2 linked regions of the Neodiprion lecontei genome follow. The protein of the gene in region 1 interacts with the protein of each later gene in a pairwise test. Links are inferred from orthologs where the notes say so. Each region holds a gene or a part of one and is shown on either strand. Other genes may lie near its edges.

Evidence for each region.
Region 2: the proteins of CREB-regulated transcription coactivator 1 (region 1) and cyclic AMP-responsive element-binding protein 1 interact in binary tests that used the Homo sapiens proteins (3 or more experiments, as listed by UniProt). The link is inferred for Neodiprion lecontei from reciprocal best matches to the Homo sapiens genes CRTC1 and CREB1.

Annotation. Positions count from the first base shown.
Region 1 is NC_060266.1:17,461,927-17,466,783, forward strand, and holds the start of CREB-regulated transcription coactivator 1, read left to right. Parts: upstream 1-1,678; 5' UTR 1,679-1,810; coding exon 1,811-1,924; exon of another isoform or gene 1,925-2,347; intron 2,348-2,417; exon of another isoform or gene 2,418-2,771; intron 2,772-2,852; exon of another isoform or gene 2,853-2,992; intron 2,993-4,857. UniProt on the Homo sapiens protein: Transcriptional coactivator for CREB1 which activates transcription through both consensus and variant cAMP response element (CRE) sites.
Region 2 is NC_060264.1:3,829,997-3,835,125, reverse strand, and holds the start of cyclic AMP-responsive element-binding protein 1, read left to right. Parts: upstream 1-2,100; 5' UTR 2,101-2,376; intron 2,377-2,459; exon of another isoform or gene 2,460-2,474; 5' UTR 2,475-2,514; intron 2,515-2,900; exon of another isoform or gene 2,901-3,189; intron 3,190-3,411; 5' UTR 3,412-3,430; coding exon 3,431-3,610; intron 3,611-4,729; coding exon 4,730-4,879; intron 4,880-4,996; coding exon 4,997-5,123; intron 5,124-5,129. Other genes in the region: allantoinase, read left to right, coding at 1-51.

The sequences.
Region 1 (4,857 bases):
CTGGGAAGTCCCCCACTACCCCGGATTTTTTATCGCGGCATGTTTACGAGATAACGTGTTTCACGGCTCCTACCGATAAAGAAGCTACCGGATCGTTGACAAAATTTTTTATAGCTCCAAGCCGTTGCCTGAAGAATCAGTCATGTCCAAGCTCACTTTATCTGCCGAGTACTGGGGATTGATTCTGTACAGCCCCCTGACACTCACCACTCGTATACCAAAAAATTGTACGCGTTTTGCCCCCGTTTTTTAGTTCCTCTACGTGGCGCTTGTGGACTTCTGACACGCTCGCTGCCCTCGCTGACCGCGCGCAAGCAAGTCAGGCGACTATTAGCGCCACTAGTGGTGGAAATTGGCGGCAGAATCGAGGGACATTTTGCGAACCACTATTAGCAGCGTGTGTCAGGGGGCTGATTCTGTAGTTACACTTTTAACATTTCCCACCATCCAAGCATTCTGATTGGTTGACTAAACTTTTCGAATCAATCAGAATTTTGGATGGTGGGAAATTTGAAAAGAGAATTTACAAAAGCGATTCCTTGGTGACGATCTGAATACCGTTGACTGAGGATATATATATGTATATATATACCCGGGGTCCCTGAATTACCCTGGATACTCCGTCTCTCCCACTCTGCATTCATTAGCTGAGAGACGGGCCACAGTTTTTGCGAGGTTGACGGCATGGGCATCTATCGCCAGTAGTATACCTATGATTTGAAGCTGATACCAATACGAATTCGAATCTGCAGCTCCTCGAACATCTGATACGTAACAAGTCAGTGCCGTTTTTCCCAGGTTCATTGGAAACGAATGACGAAATTGGTAATTAATTAGAAAGAAATCGAGATGCAATCAGAAATAATCGTCACTTGGACCCAAATCATATTTATTTTGTTTCGGATACAATTTCGAATTCACCGCTAGTCGACATAACCCACAAATTAGATGTTCTGGTTCAATCGAGTTGTGTTCGCTTATTTTTTTAGACTCCATCAATCGATGCATCCATTATTTTTAGCGTTAGTGGCCATCGCTGTTTTCCATCGACGCAGAGTTTGTAAACATCTTCCATATGTTTGGAATCTGAGTCTCCTAGGACCGAACTGCTTGCAGCGTATAGTAATAACAAGCTCCGCATCAACTGCGGGTGAGGTTGAAGAATACCAATTTGTAGGGTTATTTTTATTACTTCGTAAAGTGGTACTGCGTGTTGATTGTGCAAACGATGCGCAAGCAATTCACATCGTAATTTGCAGAGTGTTTTCAAAGCTACACGCCTAAGATGATATTTAATAGTGGCTTGCTGAAATTCAGTACCCCATTTTCAATCTCGACTTATAGCAAAGCGAGTAAACTCGTAAATAATTTATCACGATATTCTTTCAATTCGAGCCACACGCAAAAGTTCTAACGTAATTTCCGACGATTTAGTTCGACACGGGCGTCAACGTTACGAACCTGGCCGATTAATCTTTAGAAGCGTCGTATTATAATTGAAACGCAGATTTGAATGGCGAACCGCGCATGCTGCCGCGCTAGTGGAAACTAGAGTCCCTAGGGAAATCTGCTGGGAACGTCGTATAGCGACATCTGCGTCGTACGTGCGAAAGCTAAGCAAATGCCAACTGCAACTGGCAGCGACGTGTGGCGGAGAATCAGAACACCGGAATAGGGATGTTGATCAGTTCTTCGTGTGGCCATCTAGAAGGCAGTGGCGTTCATTTTTTTAACATTTTCATTGGTGCGGTCGGTATAACAAACGTGGGAATAGTATAGTTGCAAGTCAAAAATCCAGTGCCGAGCCATCATGGCGAACCCTCGGAAATTCAGTGAAAAGATAGCTCTTTTGAATCAGAAACAGGCGGAGGAAACTGCCGCGTTCGAGGCAATCATGCGAGAGGTTTCCGACGTCACGAGCAGAGTAAGAGATTTCTTTTATTTTCACTCGGACACGTCTGCCGTGTATCCTCTAACCCGGACATTAAAACGTAAACAACGAACCTCTTACACCTCCTCTCTAGTATTGGTTGGTGCGTGTTATATGCAGCGAGCGCGCCGTAGCTACATGATATCTATAGACGTATCGTATTCGTACATACTTTTCACTCATGTTCACGCACAGTCCGAACCGCCTCACACCATTTCGCAACGAATGTAGCCAATGTTCGATGATTGTTGCTTCGATTTTTTTTCCGCGCCTCATTGTCAAGAGGTTCCAATAGTTGTTTCATTGTCACGATAGGAAATAAAGAATAAGAAAAGAATCAGACAAATACCAACCGTTGCCGTCGAATCTTCGTTATTACACGGCCATCCGTCGCCTGTCTGTCTCCACGTTACTTTCCTATATTATTATTGTAACTATTATTATTTTGTTTTTCATTCTCTGTTTACATCAGTTTTCTTTTCCACACCTTTTTCACGCGACGATTACGTCTGCTTCTGCGAGAGCTCGCGCCCAGCTCCCATGTGTATGTTTTTGCTCCTTTATCTCTCCTTCTTTTTCTCTCTCTTTCTCTCTCTCTCTCTCTCTCTCTCCCCACTTCTTCCGGTTACATGTATCTTGCTATGGGTATGTTTCACGGTTCGGACTCGACCCCATCGCCAACCACCGTCGGCGCCTGAAACGAGAATGTACCTCCTACGTTGCATCCGAAAAACGTTCGTTCGATCTTCCCACTTGTGACAATTGACAATCGGCGGTAAACGTAATGTGACATCTGCCGCGTGATTGCGTGTCTCTCTCATTTTCGCTTCGTTCGAGGCCTCTGCAAATGCGACGCATCGTACACGCGTATACATACGTAAAGACGCACGTATAGCATCACACGAGTAGGAGACGTACTTACCAACACACGCGTCCGCTTCTCCCTCCGTTTACCAACGAATGCATGCGTACACACCTATACATGTAGATCAGCGCACAATACAACACACGTGTTCACACAGTGCACGCGACAGGTTTGTGCATTAGCAGCGTGTACGTATTTGTGTGCAGGCAGCAGACAGATATGTATATATACGGTAGATACATATCGTACCTCATAATCCGATAAACACTCCGAGAGGCACATTTCATTATTTACACAAATGTCAAAATAGTACTCCGGCAATGCCGCATAACTTGACCCAACACGTTCGCAACAAACGTCTGTGGACATTATTTATTGCGATTTCGCATTGCATCTATAATAGTACTACTCTATTATGTAAGCTTTATTTAATGATGTTTATTCGTTGCGATTAGTGCTTTTTTTTCTTAAACCTTTTTCACACAATCTTTTATTATGTTATATATGCTGTCAAAAGATCTTGCTCATATCAATTTATATTATTCTTTAATTGGTTTGATTTCGTTGTTTGTTTCGTTTTGATTTTTTCAAGTTTTATTTTATTTTGTTTTTATCGGTCTCTGTCTCTCTCGCTCGCTCTCTTTCTCTTCCTCTTCCTCTTCCGTCACCTTAAATCGTGCTGTCGTGTCGAGGCCCGTGTATTTATACATTGCTTATATATATATATATCTGTATGTATACACTATCAGTATAGATTTATTTATTGTATCTACTTTTATGTTTACGTCAGGATTCTTCAGCTTTTTATTCTATTGAATAATATGTCGTTATTGGTCGGTGATACGATGTTTATTTTTCATTTTACACAACGTCGTTGCGTTGAAATTCCTCCCCCCTCCGCCCCAACCCATAAAAAAAAATCGTACGGACATAAAATTGTTATTATATTAATGATGTTACCATTGCGTGATTGTCTGCGAAATATGCGTAACGAAGATAGATTTCCGTCAAGAATTGTCGTCTGTAAACAAACAAAAATTTCATCGCTGAATATGAGAGACAGCTACGTATGAGAAATGAAATGAAATGAGATAATTTAAAAACCGCAATAATTTATTGTATTATGCATGAATTATACGGGTATACTCCATGGGAATGCGTAGGCATGTGGATTCATCACGAATTAAGACGTTCAATCACTTTTCGCGAAGACAATAGATTATACATTTCCGTTCGTAACTCGTAAGCAACCCAGTTGTGGGAACATCTGTATCATACGTTGGGTTTTTTTTTTTTTTTTTTTCGTTTTACCGTCACAAACTGTAATGTGTGTTAAAAAATTTTGGCACAGACATCTATTAGATGAAGTAATTTTTAGTCAATTACTCAACTGTTCGTGGTATGGGGGAAAATTATTCAAGTTTATGAATACATATACGTGTACATGAAAATACAACGTAATGTATAGCCGTATAGAATATTATAATTATACATTGAGAAAAAACGTTTGCTAGACTTGCGGCAATAATCATTTTTTATTTATTTGCTTGGTAATGATAAATCTGACACTTTTACAACTATCACAAGTATTGTTTGACTTGGTGAAATCGCTTTTTCTCGTAGCTACAAAATTACGAATTATTTAGTTGAATTAAGAACGTTTTCTATGATTCGCAAAAATAGATTTCAACGGGTTGACAACAGAATATTTTACAGGGAAAAAATTATGAATTTTATCGAAGAGTTAGAAATTGATTTCAAGCAATTGACACTCGTCAAAGCCAAGTGTATATATTCTGTGAGTTGAACGACGTTCATTAACACAACCACTTACAAATATCGAGATGCAGTCTTTTGGATAATTTTGCCGTGGGTCAGAATTTTCGAAAAAGTCGATAGTCCGGCAGACTAAGACTTCATTTCGATATTGTAAGTGGTTGTGCCAACTTGACGAACGTAGTTGAACATATATTAGGAGATGTAAAATCGACTAAATATTTCATCAACAGCCAGTAATGAATTAATTTTATTGGATTAACTGCAATTTTTTAAATACTTTTGA
Region 2 (5,129 bases), on another chromosome or scaffold:
GATAAACCCGTCGGTGATCTGCTACTGCAGAAGGAGAACCGACGCGAATAAATTACCTAAGTACGTTTAAAATAACTTCACTGGTTACTGAATATAACAAGTTTAAACTACATGCTATCTAATCAAAACTGTGATTAGATTGAAATTATAATATCGTAAAGGATGTAAGGATATAAAAAATAATTAATAAAGGAGTTTGTTAACTATTGTATAAAATTGTTTATTATCTTCGCTATGCGGTTTTTAATCAGATAACGTTGTATTAATTACCACATGAATGAATCACAATCGCTAGCGTATATTTTATTAAGAGAGTAATGATCATTTGCTACATCAGATCATTACATTTACGATCGAATTCGGGATTCGCGTTATTACCATGCTTTGTAATAAGCGTACTTATATCAAAATGTCTACGATTTTACGTAACGTTTCGGTATCAATAAATGCGATAAGAAAATGAATATGCTCGTTTGACTCGTTGTATTACGTCATCGCTTCTCCACTCTCCTTTTAAGCGAAATTAAATAAATTCCTAGCAAATATGATCACAGCACGCGAATTGAATAATACGTTTACGTATGGAATTTTATTCTTATAAAGTAAAGTTTAAAAATGATATTCAAAAATTGAACAATATTTGTTAGCGATATATTTTTATATATAATTTTCCGTATTTTTTTTCGAATATGCAGCGATTTATTCATAACATAGTAATGTAGGTTTACTTATCAACGAATTATTTTTTTCTATTCATTGGTTTGGACTTGTGTTACGAGAAAATAATAAAACGCTCGATCGCGCATATTTCGTTACACCTTTGAATGTGAACAACGACCAGGCATATCCGCATCAGACGGCATGAGTCACTTTCCGATGACGTCATTGCGTCCTACAGACCACTTGCAGAGTTACGTTTGTGGCATTCGAGACCCATTTTAATAGTGTGTACAGTAGTTATTTAAAACATATTTAGCAGTAATATAATTATTTTATACAAAAACAATTTTTCGATTAATTGAAATTTTCGCAACCCGACTGCATTAATTACGGCAACGCGGCCAATCAACGGATCTGAATAATATTGTAAACAAAGACAAATGTGTTTAAAAATATACACAAGTATATAAGATATAATATTGATCAGAACCGCTTGAAATATTTATTTATTTTGTTCATTATAAAGACAATCAACAGTAAATTCCTCAATTATTATAATTACAATTGAACTCATAGTGTGGAACACTCGCAAGCGAGATTGTGCGGAGTGGCTGCCCGCGCATTTATTTATAATGGATATTCGAGTGGAAATTTCCACCAATTTGTTATCGCAGGAAAATGATTTGGGATATTTATAAGAAAGGCATTATCGTCGTAGCGAGGAAACAAGCAAAATATGTATATTGTACACACGGACAGGATTCACACGTGAATGCGCGCGTGCGTGCGTACACGTGTCCGTAAAATGCGTGAGCCTCGCGAGCTGTGATCACGGTCATATGAAAGTAATACAAGTGTAGAATGACGTCATTGGATGACGTCAGCGCAACCCTACCACGATTTGTAAGTTATATGCGAAGACGAGGGCGAGGGTGACGAGGGTCACTGCGCGTAGACAAACACGTATACTTACCCATGTGCTAAGAATCGCGTTTAAAGAGCATACAATTAACAAGAAATCATAGAAATTACTGAAAACGCTTTGATCGGTGGGTAGCACCGAGACTGATTAATGTCTGTAAATTTTACGAGCGCTCATCCGCGTTCTTTAGTAAACTGACCTATGAAAGTACTTTGCGATTTCTTTGATATTTCGGTAGACGCCGTCCATATTTATGACATAATAATTGACTCATTGGATGTATATTTCTCGGTTGCGAATTCTCATCGAGTATTTTCGATTTGTTGGCTCTTGAAAACGCACATTTAAAACAATAACACTAAGACGACGGTATTGAGCAATAGCGTGGTGATTGTGCTAATTTGGACTCCCGCGTTACCGTTCGCCGAAGAAAAGTAGTTCTGCCAAGCTTGGTTATCAACGGATAATTATGAAATTGTATGATCTGGGTTTTTTTTTTTAAGGACATAAATTACTAATAATATCTTCGATTCTACTGCTCGAAGACGGTTGTTCGTTAACGAGCACATAATTCCGTAATTAATAAAGAAGAAAAGTGATCAAGCGGTTCGGCATTCACCATTCGCCATTACGCGCGCGGAGTTATACAGGCGCCATTTTGATCGTGACGCGAAGTTCACTCGTCGTGAGCTCCACCAGTGACGAAGCCACTGGAGTTTTGACGTGGCTGCTACGTACTTGCCCGTTTGCCCACTCCGATTGCAGCAAAGTTGGTGACGAGGAATACGTAACTGGTAAGTACTCAGCTGGAGAATAATAACAACCGAGCATGGACCACCGTTATTGCGATAGACCCGAAATGCTCATTGGATGTTAGCATTTTATTTTACAGCCTTAAATAAGGGATAGTTGAGTGTCTACAGTGTATAAAGGTACAAAATATGGCGTCTCGAGATACATGTTTGTATATGTAATTCTTTAAAACCATACCCGCTACTACGCGATACACGTCGTTATACTCGACCGTTAGAAAACGATCCTTTTGCTGTGTGTTACGATTTTATATTACTCTTGTCACATCTCACGCGATTGTTTACTCATTGCTTCGTCGCGGATGAAGAATGATGAAAAAGAAACATTCTCAATAAACATCATTTTATATTCTTCATTTATTTATTTTTAGCCCTCTTTGATGTAAATGACGCAGTAGCATTGGAGGAATTTTACGCGGCGGGAAAAAGGCACACGTTTCAAAACTTCACTTTAAATGGCAGCTTCATTTAAAAAATATGTGCAAATTACACTTGCACAAATGTCATTTACACTGTTGATTGTTGTCGTCAAATGATGAAGGACTTTCTTTTTCAGTCTTTTAATCATTATACTATAATTTAAGCTTTTACTAATAGTTTACATTACCCTGTTTTAACAAGAACAAGAATATATCATTCAACACAAATAATCTGGTTTTACCAAGTTACACATGTCAATATTTTCTGCCAAACATCAGTGACGATAGTGTGCTGCTTATCTAAGTGGATGCGGTTTTTAAGTTTTGTTATACATCCGCCCGTGTTGATATATTCAAGATTCCAAGATCGAAAGTAGTAAGACAATTATATTATATTTTCACAGCTTTTCCTTTTGTTTTCGTGTTTCTTTTTCTTTTCTTTTTTTTTTTTATTTTACATCAACTACATGTATATTGAAGCTTATGATTGATTTCGTCGAATGTAATGTAAGAAAAATATTTGTTTTGTGTGACGTCCAGCCTTATATATTTCTATGTCACAATTGATCGAAACTAATAAGCGTAAATTGAATTTCAGGGCTAGCGGTCCCCAGGCTATGGAAAGTATGGTTGAAGAAAACGGATCTACCGTTGACCCGTTGTCGCAGGGATCTCAGAGTGGAGATGCTGCACCTGCGATAGCAACATCGGTACAATCTTTGAGTAGATCCCAGCACCATCTGGTGGCTTCGACCAGCATTGTGCAACTGACGCTTCCTTTATCAGGGACAACGCAGGTATACAGGACACGCTCCTGTGTATCCATGCCTGATTGATTAATTTATCAAAACCAAATTCCTTCTTTTTTTCTCTGCGGTTACTTATTTGTTATCTTCATACTCTCAAGGCATGTTTACCGCGATACCTAATTCGTTATTTACTCTGCTTCGTTATTTTATAATTACACGTTCATATATTTTCACTGTACTTCACGAGTAGTAGGTATTAGATACATTACTTCATAATTTTGCATAATGCTGGTTCGTTTTGGCCCTTGATGTTTGTACACTATTTGTTACTACTTTTTTATAAATCTTTAATTTTATTCAGGTTGAAGAAAGGAATGTAAGCGTATGATTCATCTCTTTAGTACACGATGAAAATAATATTCTCTTATTTATTTTGCAATTCTCACTTTCATTGTTATATCAATATTTGATGTTTATACCTTCAACAACGATTCATGTTAACGTAACATGTGTTTCAATGCATAATAAATTGTATTGCTAATATCTCAATTCAATCGACTTTTGATTTTCTCAGTAATCATAGTTTGAACTTTAGTTTTACTCAATGTATGTTTTACTACTGTTACGCAGTGCAACGATGTAAATCTCCAGCAAACTGATTATCTTATCACATCACCTCAAAGGGTGATCCGCACACCTGACATAGATCACTTTTGAGCGACCACCTGCGTCGTTCAAGTTTGAAAGTTAGCCGAAATAATTTACAGTAATGGCATTTCGAAATATACCATCGAAATATCTACGTGGCATGTTTCTTTTTCTAATTCTATTCAGTACATCAGTTGTATTTCGAAATGCCGGTGAGATACAAAAAATTCACTCGAAAATATCCTCCTTAAAAAAGTATATCGCCCATACACAGTTTTTCCAATGTATTATAAAACTTGTGTCTCTCGCTTGTTTCGTTTACTTATACATTGCCAAATGTATTTATCGAAAAGTACAAAATTAGTTGATGAATCTAATAGTTCTCTTTTCTCACTGTACAGGTTTTATTGTGATAGATTATTTTCGTTGAATTGCTCGCCTGTAATCAATTAATGTCTTGAGCTACTACCTCATTGATGATACTTCTGGTGACATTTATTTCTTTATCGCCATTTGCAGGTACAATCGGTGATACAGCCAAACCAGCAGTCCGTTATTCAGACTGCTACAAACATCCAGCCGGTTGCTCTTTCCAAGGCAAACGTCATTCTCGTCAGTAAGCCCAATTCAGTCATACAAACGACGCAAGGCAGCCTACAAACTTTACAGGTATGTCAGCATTTGTAACATATGATCTTCACTTATTCTATAAACGAGTAATAATTTTTTCCCAATCAATTGAATCATCGAGTATTGTTTTCTCATACCTGTTATCACTCATTCAAGGTTGTCGAAACTGGAAGTGATGACAGCTTTTCGGACGAGGAATCCCCAAAAAAGAGGAGGGATATTCTAACCAGAAGACCATCTTACAGAAAAATCCTCAACGATTTAGGCGGAGGTGAGATTGCAGGTAAAT